Linked DNA regions of Caenorhabditis elegans. The protein of the gene in region 2 interacts with the protein of the main gene of each other region in a pairwise test. Each region holds a gene or a part of one and is shown on either strand. Other genes may lie near its edges. The genes, in order: sorb-1, C09G1.4 and uso-1.

What was found.
Region 1: the proteins of C09G1.4 (region 2) and sorb-1 interact in binary tests that used the Caenorhabditis elegans proteins (3 or more experiments, as listed by UniProt).
Region 3: the proteins of C09G1.4 (region 2) and uso-1 interact in a two-hybrid assay, tested with the Caenorhabditis elegans proteins (3 studies listed by BioGRID).

Annotation. Positions count from the first base shown.
Region 1 is NC_003282.8:13,748,580-13,752,333, reverse strand, and holds the start of sorb-1 (SH3 domain-containing protein), read right to left. Parts: upstream 2,002-3,754; 5' UTR 1,999-2,001; coding exon 1,960-1,998; intron 1,912-1,959; coding exon 1,707-1,911; intron 1,682-1,706; exon of another isoform or gene 1,661-1,681; intron 1,476-1,660; exon of another isoform or gene 1,452-1,475; intron 1,292-1,451; coding exon 1,161-1,291; intron 1,150-1,160; exon of another isoform or gene 1,129-1,149; intron 1,075-1,128; exon of another isoform or gene 1,051-1,074; intron 838-1,050; exon of another isoform or gene 817-837; intron 579-816; exon of another isoform or gene 558-578; intron 545-557; exon of another isoform or gene 524-544; intron 408-523; exon of another isoform or gene 387-407; intron 1-386. UniProt on the Caenorhabditis elegans protein: Required for organization of sarcomeres in body wall muscles and for maintaining normal mitochondrial position in myocytes.
Region 2 is NC_003284.9:15,994,947-15,998,700, reverse strand, and holds the start of C09G1.4 (uncharacterized protein), read left to right. Parts: upstream 1-1,763; 5' UTR 1,764-1,779; coding exon 1,780-1,861; intron 1,862-3,754.
Region 3 is NC_003282.8:13,452,889-13,456,642, forward strand, and holds the start of uso-1 (Uso1_p115_head domain-containing protein), read right to left. Parts: upstream 1,911-3,754; coding exon 1,809-1,910; intron 894-1,808; coding exon 798-893; intron 612-797; coding exon 456-611; intron 393-455; coding exon 148-392; intron 1-147. Other genes in the region: Y38H8A.7 (uncharacterized protein), read left to right, coding at 2,618-2,707, 2,755-2,838, 2,908-3,001, 3,046-3,145, 3,196-3,247.

The DNA.
Region 1 (3,754 bases), on a different chromosome or scaffold from region 2:
CCGAATTGAATAAAACTTTATAATTTTATTGATTTTCCTGGTTAGAATCAGTTCTGCGCGGAAAATCTTTTCAGCAAATGTACAAACCTACGTATTTTAGTTTGGTGATTATATTTTTTTTGTATCAAAAATCATTACAGAAATGTAGGACAAGGTTTGTTCTATGAGTTCTATCTGATAATGATATTTATTTTTTCTGCAAAGTTCGAAAATTATCTCAAATAGTGCCTGAGTTAGGGTTTGCCGTGAAACTTTTTCAGCAAATGACAACTTTCAGACACTATTTGACCCAATTTTCATAGAAAATTGAAAAAAAAAAAATAGAAACCACAATTTTTTCTGTTTCAGGAATTTTATGTCATGACAATAGAACAAGCGAAAAATGTTTATTGGTTTCAATCTTCAGTGTGTCGCAACAAGTCTAAGTAAGAGAATAAGCACTAAATTTTTTAGAACAACATGAAATGTCTTGGCGATTTTTCAGGTCATTTGCATTTGCAAGTTTTAAAAAGTACTCAAAACATTTTTCCTATAAGTTTTCCTATCACAAAAAAATAGTAATGTAGTTTTCATAGACAACACGAAAAAGTATTTTCATTGTTTTAAATTTTTGCAAATCTTCAAACTGTACACAAAATTTTAACGTTTTTTAAAACAATTTTGCGTAAATTTTTATCTACATAAGGATTTTTCATAAACTTCCCGGAATGTACAATTTTCAAAATAGAACTGAAAAGTTGTGTTTTCGGAAAATTAAAAAGAAAGTTCTACTGTTTCGTGAAAGCCATTTAGGACATTTACAATTTTCCGGTTTGATCTGATCGGTTTGTTCTTTTTTAACTTAAAAACTGTTAAATTTTTGAAATTTCGTATATAGAAGCTATTATTACTTGTGAATTGTATTTCTGAAAAGTAGAAAACTTCAAAACTCAAAATAATTTTGCTCATATTTTACAATTTTTAGTGAAGCTTTAGTCGATAATAATTTCTAGAAAAAAACTCACGTGTTTCACTCATAGCTTGTAAAAAAAGCCAAAAAGAAAATAATATCAGTAAAAAATGGTCAGTAATAACTAAATTTAACTATTTCAGCACATTGTTTTCAGTTTGAAAAGTTCGTTGCTTTATTGTATCGCTGTTTTTTTCAAAATAAAACTCACTCCTTGAAAATATTTATTTGGATTGACAGGACCATCAAGTACTCTTCCCATATTATGCTTGTTAAGATGTGGATCCACATATCCATTTGGTTCGTATACTTTTACATTTTTGGCCCAGGAAGGAGTTGAGTCTGGAATTTATTATTTTATTGAACATCAAAACATTTGGATTTTTTGAATATTGCTGGTTAGGAGAGACATCAGGAGTTGTTTTCCGCAAAATCAGAAAAAATTATACAAAAAAAACAGTTTTAGATAGTTTATAAGACTACTTCAAAACTTTATTGTTACTGTTTGCAGCATTCGGACAGAAACCAAAATATCTTACTATTAATAGAAAAAATGACAAAAATCTAATTGCAAAATTGCTGCTTCATCTTCCAGGTCCGTCGAGGTACCAGGTCTCAGCCAATCGTGTATTTGTTGACTATCTTGTTGACTAACATTTTTTACAGTTTCAAGGAATTCATATGAGCTATGTGTTACTTTCCGAAAACTATTATTTCGTAGCTTAATACATAGAACGCCTAGAAAAACAAAACTCACCAACAGGCGGAGGCGCTGGTTTCTGATATCTGGAACTATTTCCAGTTGGTGTCTTCATATCCAACTGCCCATGTATCACATTTCTCAACGCCGCCACATTTCCCTTCGGTGAGAATTTATCAGAATCTTCAAAGGTGTCAAAGTTGTAGGCATCTGCTGCAGGATTTAGATATTGACCAGATGGCTGTTGTGGTTCTGATGAGTTCTGGAAATTAATTAGGGATTGTGGAGTAGATTAATTGAAAGCTCTTACCGCCAGGTTTGACCCGAATGGATGAGGATGATGCATCATTCCTGGAATATGGGAGTTTGAAGAATTGTATAACAAAATAAAGGAAAGAATAAATGAAAAATGTGAAATACGGAAGACTAATATGTTCTGTCAGAAATGGGATTTTTTTTTGAAATTTGTACTGTAACAGTTTTTATAGTTCTCGAACTTTACCCAATCTGACAATAATTGCAGATTCATGGGATGTACACTATTCAAGAATATTTTCCATTTTCCAGAAAACTTCAGACATCTTGAAAATTTGTTTTAATTTTCAAAATATTTTCTCACTAGATTTTTAAATTCTATAAAGATTTTGAACCCAATTTCCAACTAAATTTGACATTTAGGAGCGCCAGTAGAATGCATTTTTGGAATTATAAGGATGGTACTTAAATGACCATATTGTCAATTTTTGTTTTGACTGTTTCATTTAAGTGTTAAAGCTCCCACAATGGATTCACGTTCAATTGACGCAATCCTTAAAATCATAATTTTTGTTGAAATGTTAATGCTTGTGTTAAAGTTATTGTTTTTAAAGTTTTGAACACCTTTTGAGACTTGAATGAGAATGTATCTAGTTTTTAAAAATAGCTTCCAAGACCGGGTAAAATGTGCACGGCAATCACAATTTTGCCATTGCTGGAATTGAAAAATGCTAATTTTTGTTTTCTTAAAATAGAAAAGACACTTGTAATTTTTTAATTTTAAAAATGAAAATAACATTCTGGAACAAGTGTTTAAATTTTATACTGTTTCTTTGAAATGGTAAAGCTTTTACAACATTTTCAAATCTATTCCACCTTTGTCCATGAGTATGTAAGACGTACAACTTTTGAAAAATGTTGTCTGGTCACTTGAGCAGTTTTTTCAAGAATAGTAAAACTTTTAGGTTAAAAATTTTTTATAACAGGGAAAAGGCCACATTTCATCTATCAGAATTTGGGGTTCGACCCAAAAAATTATTTCTACGATTTTTTACACTTTCATTAAGTTTAAATAATTAGAACTCAATGATTGTAGGAGTTGCAAAATCAGTTATGTATTTCACTGAAAACTAAAATTATTGAAAATTAAAATAATAAAAATTACCGTTTCACAGTTGTAATAGTTAACAAGCCCGAAACAGTACTAGGTTTTACGAAAAGTTGTTATTTTGAAATACGACAAAAAAACCAAAATAAGAAAAATTTTATCAGTAAATCGAGTGATATTATTGTTGCGAGAGCCACACTTAGAGAAACTAAGAATGTCCCTCATTGCGTCTTCTGTCCCCGGGACACGAAACAGAATCACATTCTCTCAGTGTCTGCGTCTCTCTATCTTTTTGCTCACTATATACATGACTTTACACACTTTTCGTCTTTCTTCTTTCAATTTTTGTTAAGCAATTGCCGGATGGACCTGCTGAAGAGAAAGAGAATGAGAGGAGAGAAGATGGAACTGCTCTCAAGTGACCAGACAAACTTTTTCATCACTATGATCATGATCATCACACCTTTGATTTAGTACTCTTTTGGCCAGAAGTAACCGTTGTATTTAAAAAAAGGTGGAGCGCAAGCTTATTAGTTTCAAAGGAAGAACAGAAACTTTAACACTTCATAGAAACAGTTAAAATTTGCAAAAAATTTGTTCAAAAAAATTATAGTTTTTTGCCGTTCGCATCACAATTTGCCATCGAAGAATAAACCTAGGAGACTAATTGTGCTTAAAAATAGTTTTTTTATTAGTTACCAAATCTATAAAAATGAGTATTTTCAGAATATGAAAAACATCA
Region 2 (3,754 bases):
CTATTACCCGTTGCATAAATTATCAATCTTTAGTTTTGTTCGCTATTTTCAGTATTCTTCTTCTTTCTTTTTCTCCCCATTTTTTCGCGATAGATTTATGTGTTTCCTGATACATCACGTACATCCTGCTGCTTCGGCTCGCACAAAAAGAGAAGTTCGTCGCTTAAGAGTAAGTACATCATTCACTAAGGCATCACAACCATCTGGCGAGATTAAACATGTGTTTAACGAGAGGGGGACGGGATGGAACCCTAACTTTTGACGTGTGTGTGTGTCTACCGCCATTCGGGTGTTAGATTACCAAGCAATAATGCAAATGGGTTTGGCGGTTCAGATACTGATCATAAGTGAGTCACATTTTTGGTATTGCGGTAGTTTTTGAAGTTTAGAATTTTGAAGTTAAATTTTTCATAGTCCTCTTTATAGTCATTACCCTCAATTTAAAATTAAAACCCAATGACAATCACGAAAAAGTTTGCAATACCAGTGGTTTTATTAAACATAAATATTAGGGCTTTCATGCAGGCGACGTCTGCCTCGTGCCGCGAGCCGCGCCTCCTGCTTAGTGCTGCGCGGAACCCGAAAAGTGTCGGCCGCTTCCATGGAGGTCCTAATAGTTATCATCAAAAGCTTTTGGGGTCTCTTCTGAACAATCTCGCCATTTCTATGTTTTCGCCAAAAAATCCTAGTTCTATGTAATGTTTACACTGTATTCAAGTTCGTTTTTTTTCACTTTTCCAGAACATTCCTTGCTTTTCTTCTGTACACCCACTCTTCTATTTTTTTTCTTGTTATCACATTGTTCTGAACGACTGCATTGTGTGTTGTATGACCTTTTCCTTTTCGTGATCAATCCGTCCCTGGGGACAGTTCTATTAGGTCGGTGTGCCCACGAATGGTGTGCATTCTAGAGATAGTAGTGAAGAAAAACTGTTTTTTTTTTGCTTCAAGTTCGAATGCCGAAGTTGGTGTTCAAACATTGAATTGTCAATGGGGACACAAGTTGTTTTTTGTTTTTTTTTAATAGAAAGTTTTAGGTGCATTGTTTGGTTATTTTGGAAGAAAGCTGTATTTTTGAAAGCGTGCTCTTAATCTTTTTTTCCGATGCTCTTTCAATCAGTTTCCTTACTCATCATAGTAAAATCCGATATTTCTAACAATACGAGGGTAGCTATTTTTCACTATTTAAAGATTAAAGGGTCAAAGGACGATCCGTTCTCCAAGTGCTATGCACTGCGGATCTGGGACTCAGGTACACTGCCTGGTGGTGATCCCACTGGGTTGTAATTTAAGCCACGTCCGAGCCGGGGACTGTGGCCGATAATCCAGTCTTGGATTGCTCCACTTCCCAATAGGGGCTGGGTGAACCTAGGAAGTGAGGCCGGACTTGAACTCGTGACCTCCAGATTGCTAGCGGCCACCACTACCGACTGAGCTATTTGCCCCCTTATATATTTAATTACTCTTGATCAAAACACACCTAAAACTTCCAAGACGTCAGTACGTGCACCAGTGCCAGTCACGATTGTGTCCACTTTACATATATATCCAATTAACAGTGTCACTTTTCACATCTTTACGTCCATCTCGCTTTTTTTTCGCCTTCTTTTTTTCCCCTACTTTTCCGCAGCCCCCAAAAATTGAGAACATACCTTAACTAGGCCGATTATATCCCATCAGGTCTTTGATGTTATCATTTGTTTCTTTACCTCTGATATGTTATCTTTTTTTTCAAATTGTTCTCTTATAAACTTACAATTTTCAGAGACACAAATCACAATGTCTTCTGGAAATCGGCAGGCTCCAATGCCCCCACCAAAACCTCGAAATTTGGGGCGTGGCCAGTTTTATCAACAAGGAGGTACGTCATAATTATTTCTCACTTTTTTTTCCAAATTCAAAATTAATTTCTTCTTTTTTGCACCAGTCATTCAGTATTCGCTCGTCATCTACAAATAGAAAAGGGAAAAATTATGAATTTTCAATAGACGTACCTTTTTTTGAATACGTGTCTTTTTCGCAAAAAATGTTTTTTTTCTGTGATTTGTTTCTAATATTTTTTGTAAGAGCAAAGTTATTACCTACCATATGCCTAAAATAAATGTGGAATACTAGATTTCGAACATGGTGCATCGACTGGAAAATGTTTTTGGCGCTTGTTGCTTAAAAAACAGGTTACAAATATTTATTCACGTTTTTTTTGGAACATTTACTATGTAATACATAATTTCTTTTAACCGTTTGAACAATTTTTTTCCTGTTTTTTGCTCTAGTCATTTAGTATTCGTTCATCATGAATTATTTCCGAGCTAAAAGAGGCAAATTATGAATTTTTCAAAAACGTACTTTTTCGAATGCAGTGGTGTAGCCATTTTTGCACAATTATGTTTTTTACATGTTTCTATGAGTTCAGTTCAGCCACAGTTTATGGATACAGATATTCATAATATGAAAGATATTTTAAACACGTAACTACTTCTGGAGTTTTTTTTTTTTTATTTTTGTTTAGAATTGTGAATATGCTCCGAAATCGGTCTTTGCAGAATTTTCAAAGTAACATATTAAAAAATTATGAACATTATATTTTTTTCGGTAAAATGTTTGGTATTTTTTAACGGAATGTTTTAAAAAATTGCAAAATTTTTTCGCTATTTTTCTTTAAAAGTGGAGTAGCGCCAGTGGGAAAGTTGTTAAAAACCACTCCTTTGGTCCCAAAATGACCACATATCATAATGAAACTTATTTATTGTCAAAAAGTGACAATTACTCAGTTTTTGCCAATCATAATTTTGGAAGTCGACCAAAAAAATGTTTCTACATTTTTTATACAGTAATTATTTGGATTAAAACATTGTAGGGCCCGGAACATGTGAAATTGCTTTGGATTTCTTCAAAAGCTCTTATTTTTCAAAATTCTGAAAATTTGCCAAAGTTTAACCGGAAATTATGAAAAGCCTGAAATTTTTTGAATTGTATTATTAAGATATTTGGTCTTTTTAGATCATAATGAGTGTCTACTCCATGTTTAAATAATACCCGTTTTTGCCTATTCCCCAAAACTCCAGTGGCCATTAATAGTCTGCAAGAACTAATTTCGGAAAATTTAGATCTGAAAGTCATTGAAACAAAACAAACTCTATTAAAATTTTAGGAGCGCATTTCCGCTATTTAAAACTTTTCAATCGTCTCTGTGAAATAAATGTTTTCAAATTAGGTAAAACGTTAGGTAAGTCTTGAGTAATTCTTAGTTAGTGTTGAAAACGTTAGTGTAGAAAAAATTTTTTTTGGAGCAATTGAATTTAACTGCTAAATTGTGCGTTTGTATTCCAAAATTTTGAAGCGAATCTAACAGATATTTGATCTCTGGCTTTCAATTGCAAAGTAATTCTCCCTTTTTTGTCGCTCACCACAAAGCGTCAAGTTTTCTCAGTTTCAGTGTAACATGCCATACACACCAAAACGACAAGCTTTTCAAAATAAGAAAAACGGAAAGTGAGCAAGTGACGCGGCGCGCGGTCAGCGTTTTTTTTTGTAACCCATCTCAAATGCCAAGTCTCTGTGTTCGTGGACCTTTTCAAGCGAGACTATGTCTGTGTATGTGTGTGTGCCTTTTTCATTTTTGCTCCCGAAGAGCCCAGTACTACACATTCAGAACTTTTACACTTCTAGCTCGGCACCATGTGCTGATCTTGGTCCAACAAACCCCAACAAAAGTGCGTTCTGCGTTTTGCCCGCAACCCATTCCTGCTTATTG
Region 3 (3,754 bases), on a different chromosome or scaffold from region 2:
ATCGGAGAAAATACGGATAAATTAAAAAGAAAATTAATTTGCGGTTGTTGTGACACCGATAAGTTGACGAAATTGGAGATTTTAGCTGAAATTAGTGAATTTTTTAAAGCATCTTGATTTTTTTCTCGTTAATTTCGGAATAAAAACCTTCGAACTCCAATATCGAATTGTTCAACGGCGCATAAAACTGAAGAAATGAAGCCTTTTCGTTTAATCATCACTTCGGCTAATCGTTCTCCTAATTCATCGGATTCTGAAGAATCGTCGTCTGTTGACAAAACGATTGCCATCGTGTCGAGCACAATTGTCATGGCTTCGGTGTTCATGCGATCTGTTTCAAGCACGTCAATGAATGCATTCATTCCCATTGTTCCGACGGCTAATCGATATTTCTGAAATTACACGTTTAATTTTAATTGTTTAATTTTAATAGTTCAAATGATTTTTTCTCTCACCTTTGCGACACCTTTCAGCCCTCTCAACGCATCTCGACGGTCTTCTGGTGCCGTACAAGTTTCTGCTCGTTCCACAAGTGTTTCTACATATTCAGCTCCATTATCCTCGTCTTCATCTTGCTGTCCGCCGCCAAAAAAGTTCCGAAACAGCGACATCTGCAAAGCTACACGTGGCAGTGAGCGGAAAATGGGATTGTCGTGTTGTTGAGCGAATATAAATGATAATTAAATGCATTTTTTAATTTAATTTATTTATTTCTAAATATTTTTCTTTATTTTCTGAATTTTAACATAAAATAAATGAAAAAAAACGGGAAAAAAAGAAGAGAAAAGTGGAAAAACCTGTCGTGGAATTGGAGGATGCGTTCTCAATGGAGCGCGCTTGCTGACTCTTTTCGGACTTCGTTTTTTCGCTTGCAGACGTTGACGGAAATTGCTCTGAAAAAAAGATCTGCTCAAAAAGTGAATAAAACAAATATTTCAATTGTTTTAATAACAAAATTTGCATATTCAACTGAATAATAATTATACTGAATTCAAGAATTTCAAAAAAATTGGAGAAAGTTTGGGAAACAGATGGAAATTTTCAATAAAATCGTCGAGAAAACATTTTCTGTCAAAATCCGGATTAAATCCAGAAAGAAGAGTACCAGCTGCCCACGAAAATTTCGGGTTTTCCCCCAAAAGAACAGTCTTGAGTCCTGACACGATCGAAACTTTTCAGCTAAATACCGTACACGTGGCTCAAGCCAGTGGTCACGGTGTTTTATTTTATACTCATACCCAACATTTTGCGATTTTTGCGCCAAAAATACGGTTCCTGGTCTCGACACGACTTTTTTTTTGTTATATTCAAACCAGGGCGCGCCTTTAAAGAGTACTGTAATTTCGAACTTTCGTTGTTGCAGGGTTTTCATCGTTTTTTCATAGTTCTTCGTTAAAAAAGGCTGTTTTTATTTTGTAAAAAACTGAAGTAAAACAATTAAAACACATAAATTTTAAGAAAAACAATGAAAAGTCGAATAAAATGCCGCAGCGACAAAAGTTTAGAATTACAGTACTCTTTAAAGGAGAGCACCCGTTTCCATGCAACGAAAAATTGTCGTTTTGAGACCAAGAACTACCGTATTTTTCGCGCAAAACACATAAAAATTGCAAAATTTCCCGTCTGGCTAATATCTTTAATAAATATAAAGCATAGATTTTTTATAAATTGACAGGCTATTTTCAAATATTAAATTAAAAAAAAACAAAAATCAGCGCTAATATGCTCAATTCAAAATTTTTTAAATTGAAAAACATTGGTTAAAAGTAGAAATAACAATAAATCAATATATTTTGCAACAACTTTACCTGAGGCAAATTGAAAAACGCATTGGAAATTGTCGTGTCACTGGAAAACGATCTAACTGAAAGAGTTGATCCGGTAATTGAAGACGTTGAATAAGCGAACATTTCGATTGAATAAAACTATCGGCTCAGAGAGTGTTAGAGTGCGTAAAAGTGTAATGTAGGAAGAGGGCACATTGAGTGAGTTGATCGGGAGAGAAAAGTGAAGAGAAAACGGATAGAATAACAGAATACTGTTACTTCAAAATGTTTTGATTACGGGTAATGTATACATTTCGATATATATTAGCTTTCAGGCAAATCAACAAATTACTGGAATTGAAATTTCTGGCAAACTTTATTTTATTTTATTTCAATGTGTTTCAATGTTCAAAAAAAGAAAAATTTCCGAATATACTTCAAATATAATTCAAATAAATGCCCAAGTTAGAGTACTCAGATAAATCGAACCACGCAGGCACCGCTCCAAACCACGCAGGTGACTGCCCACCACGCAGTCAACGCGTCAAGACCACGCAGGCAACCAAAAGCACGCAGGTGACGCCTAGGAACCACGCAGGCGACTTGACGGTGGGCAGCTATTGGCAGTGGCTGCAAAACCACGCAGGTGACGCCTACATACCATGCAGGCAGCCAACGTTCAGCCACGCGCGGGATTCCTAGGCCAATGGCTGCGTACTCCTCTTGGACAACTTTTTCTTCTATTTTTTTTTCCTAATTTAATGGAATTTTCCGTTTTTTTTCTTGCAAAAAGCACTTTTATATTAATTTTCAATTTCTTCATGAAACTCAATAATTGTTTTCAGGTAAATATGTCAACCCCGGCCCGAAAAACCCCAAAAGGAGGCCGAAAGCGGCGTGGCAATGGACTGGAGGCGCCGCATTCGATTGGTCGCTTCAACGTAAGATAAACTTTATTTTTAAAAAATATATAGCAACAAAATTTCAGAAAAAACCTTCGGAATCGTTCGTTCGAACTATGGACTGGGATTTCAAAGAGCTTAGGAAAATCGCGGAAAATTCCAAGTCAAAGGTGAACAGAAGTTTGGCAGCTGCACAAATTCTCCAAATCCAGATGTAGTTAAAATAGTTCACTTTTCAGACAATTCCTCCAGAGCTCCTCCACACCTTCAGTGTCCACCCAAATTCGGTGAATCATCAGATTCTTCAAGGAAGACTTCTCAATTGTCCTATCAGTAAGCTATTCTTGTCCAATTTTTTTTTAAACAAAAATTTTCAGGCGTTCTTCACAATATTCTACATGTTGTAGCCGGATTCGAAGGACAGTTCCCGAGTGCGGATTTTGGCGATGTTTTCTCCCGACAGGTGGATCAAAAATGGTAAACACCCTTCTATCAATTTGTATTTCCAAAAATCAATAATATTGCAGCTTGAACGCACGGAAAAAGATGAGCCAGGAAAAGGACACACCATCACACTGATCACTGGGACGAAAACAACTGCCTAATGGACTTAATTTTGTTTCCCACCTTTTTTTGTTGTTATTTTTGAGATTTTCGTACTTTGCGTTTTAGATGGTTAAACGGTAGGAAGGGGAAGGAGCGGGCTGCGAACTGCCATTGCTGCAAGACCACGCAGGTGTCGCCTCCAAACCACGCAGGCAACGCGTTGAAACCACGCAGGGACTGGCATTCTTGAGCGTGGTTTGTACGCGTTGCCTGCGTGGTTTGGAGCGGTGCCTGCGTGGTTCGGTTTATCTGAGTAGTAAATTTTAAGGTCTTTCAGCATATACCAATAATATTCCAGTAGGTACAAGAAGCTTCACGTAGTTACAGAAATAGTACATTTTCAGCCCTACCTTTTAGTGCGTATTTTATTATTTAATGAAAACTACCATTTATAGGCAAAAATAGATGAATTTTCCAAACTTTGAAAATTCATAAATCTTTTGAAAGTAACTTTTTTTGAAATGTCTTTCAGAAACTTTG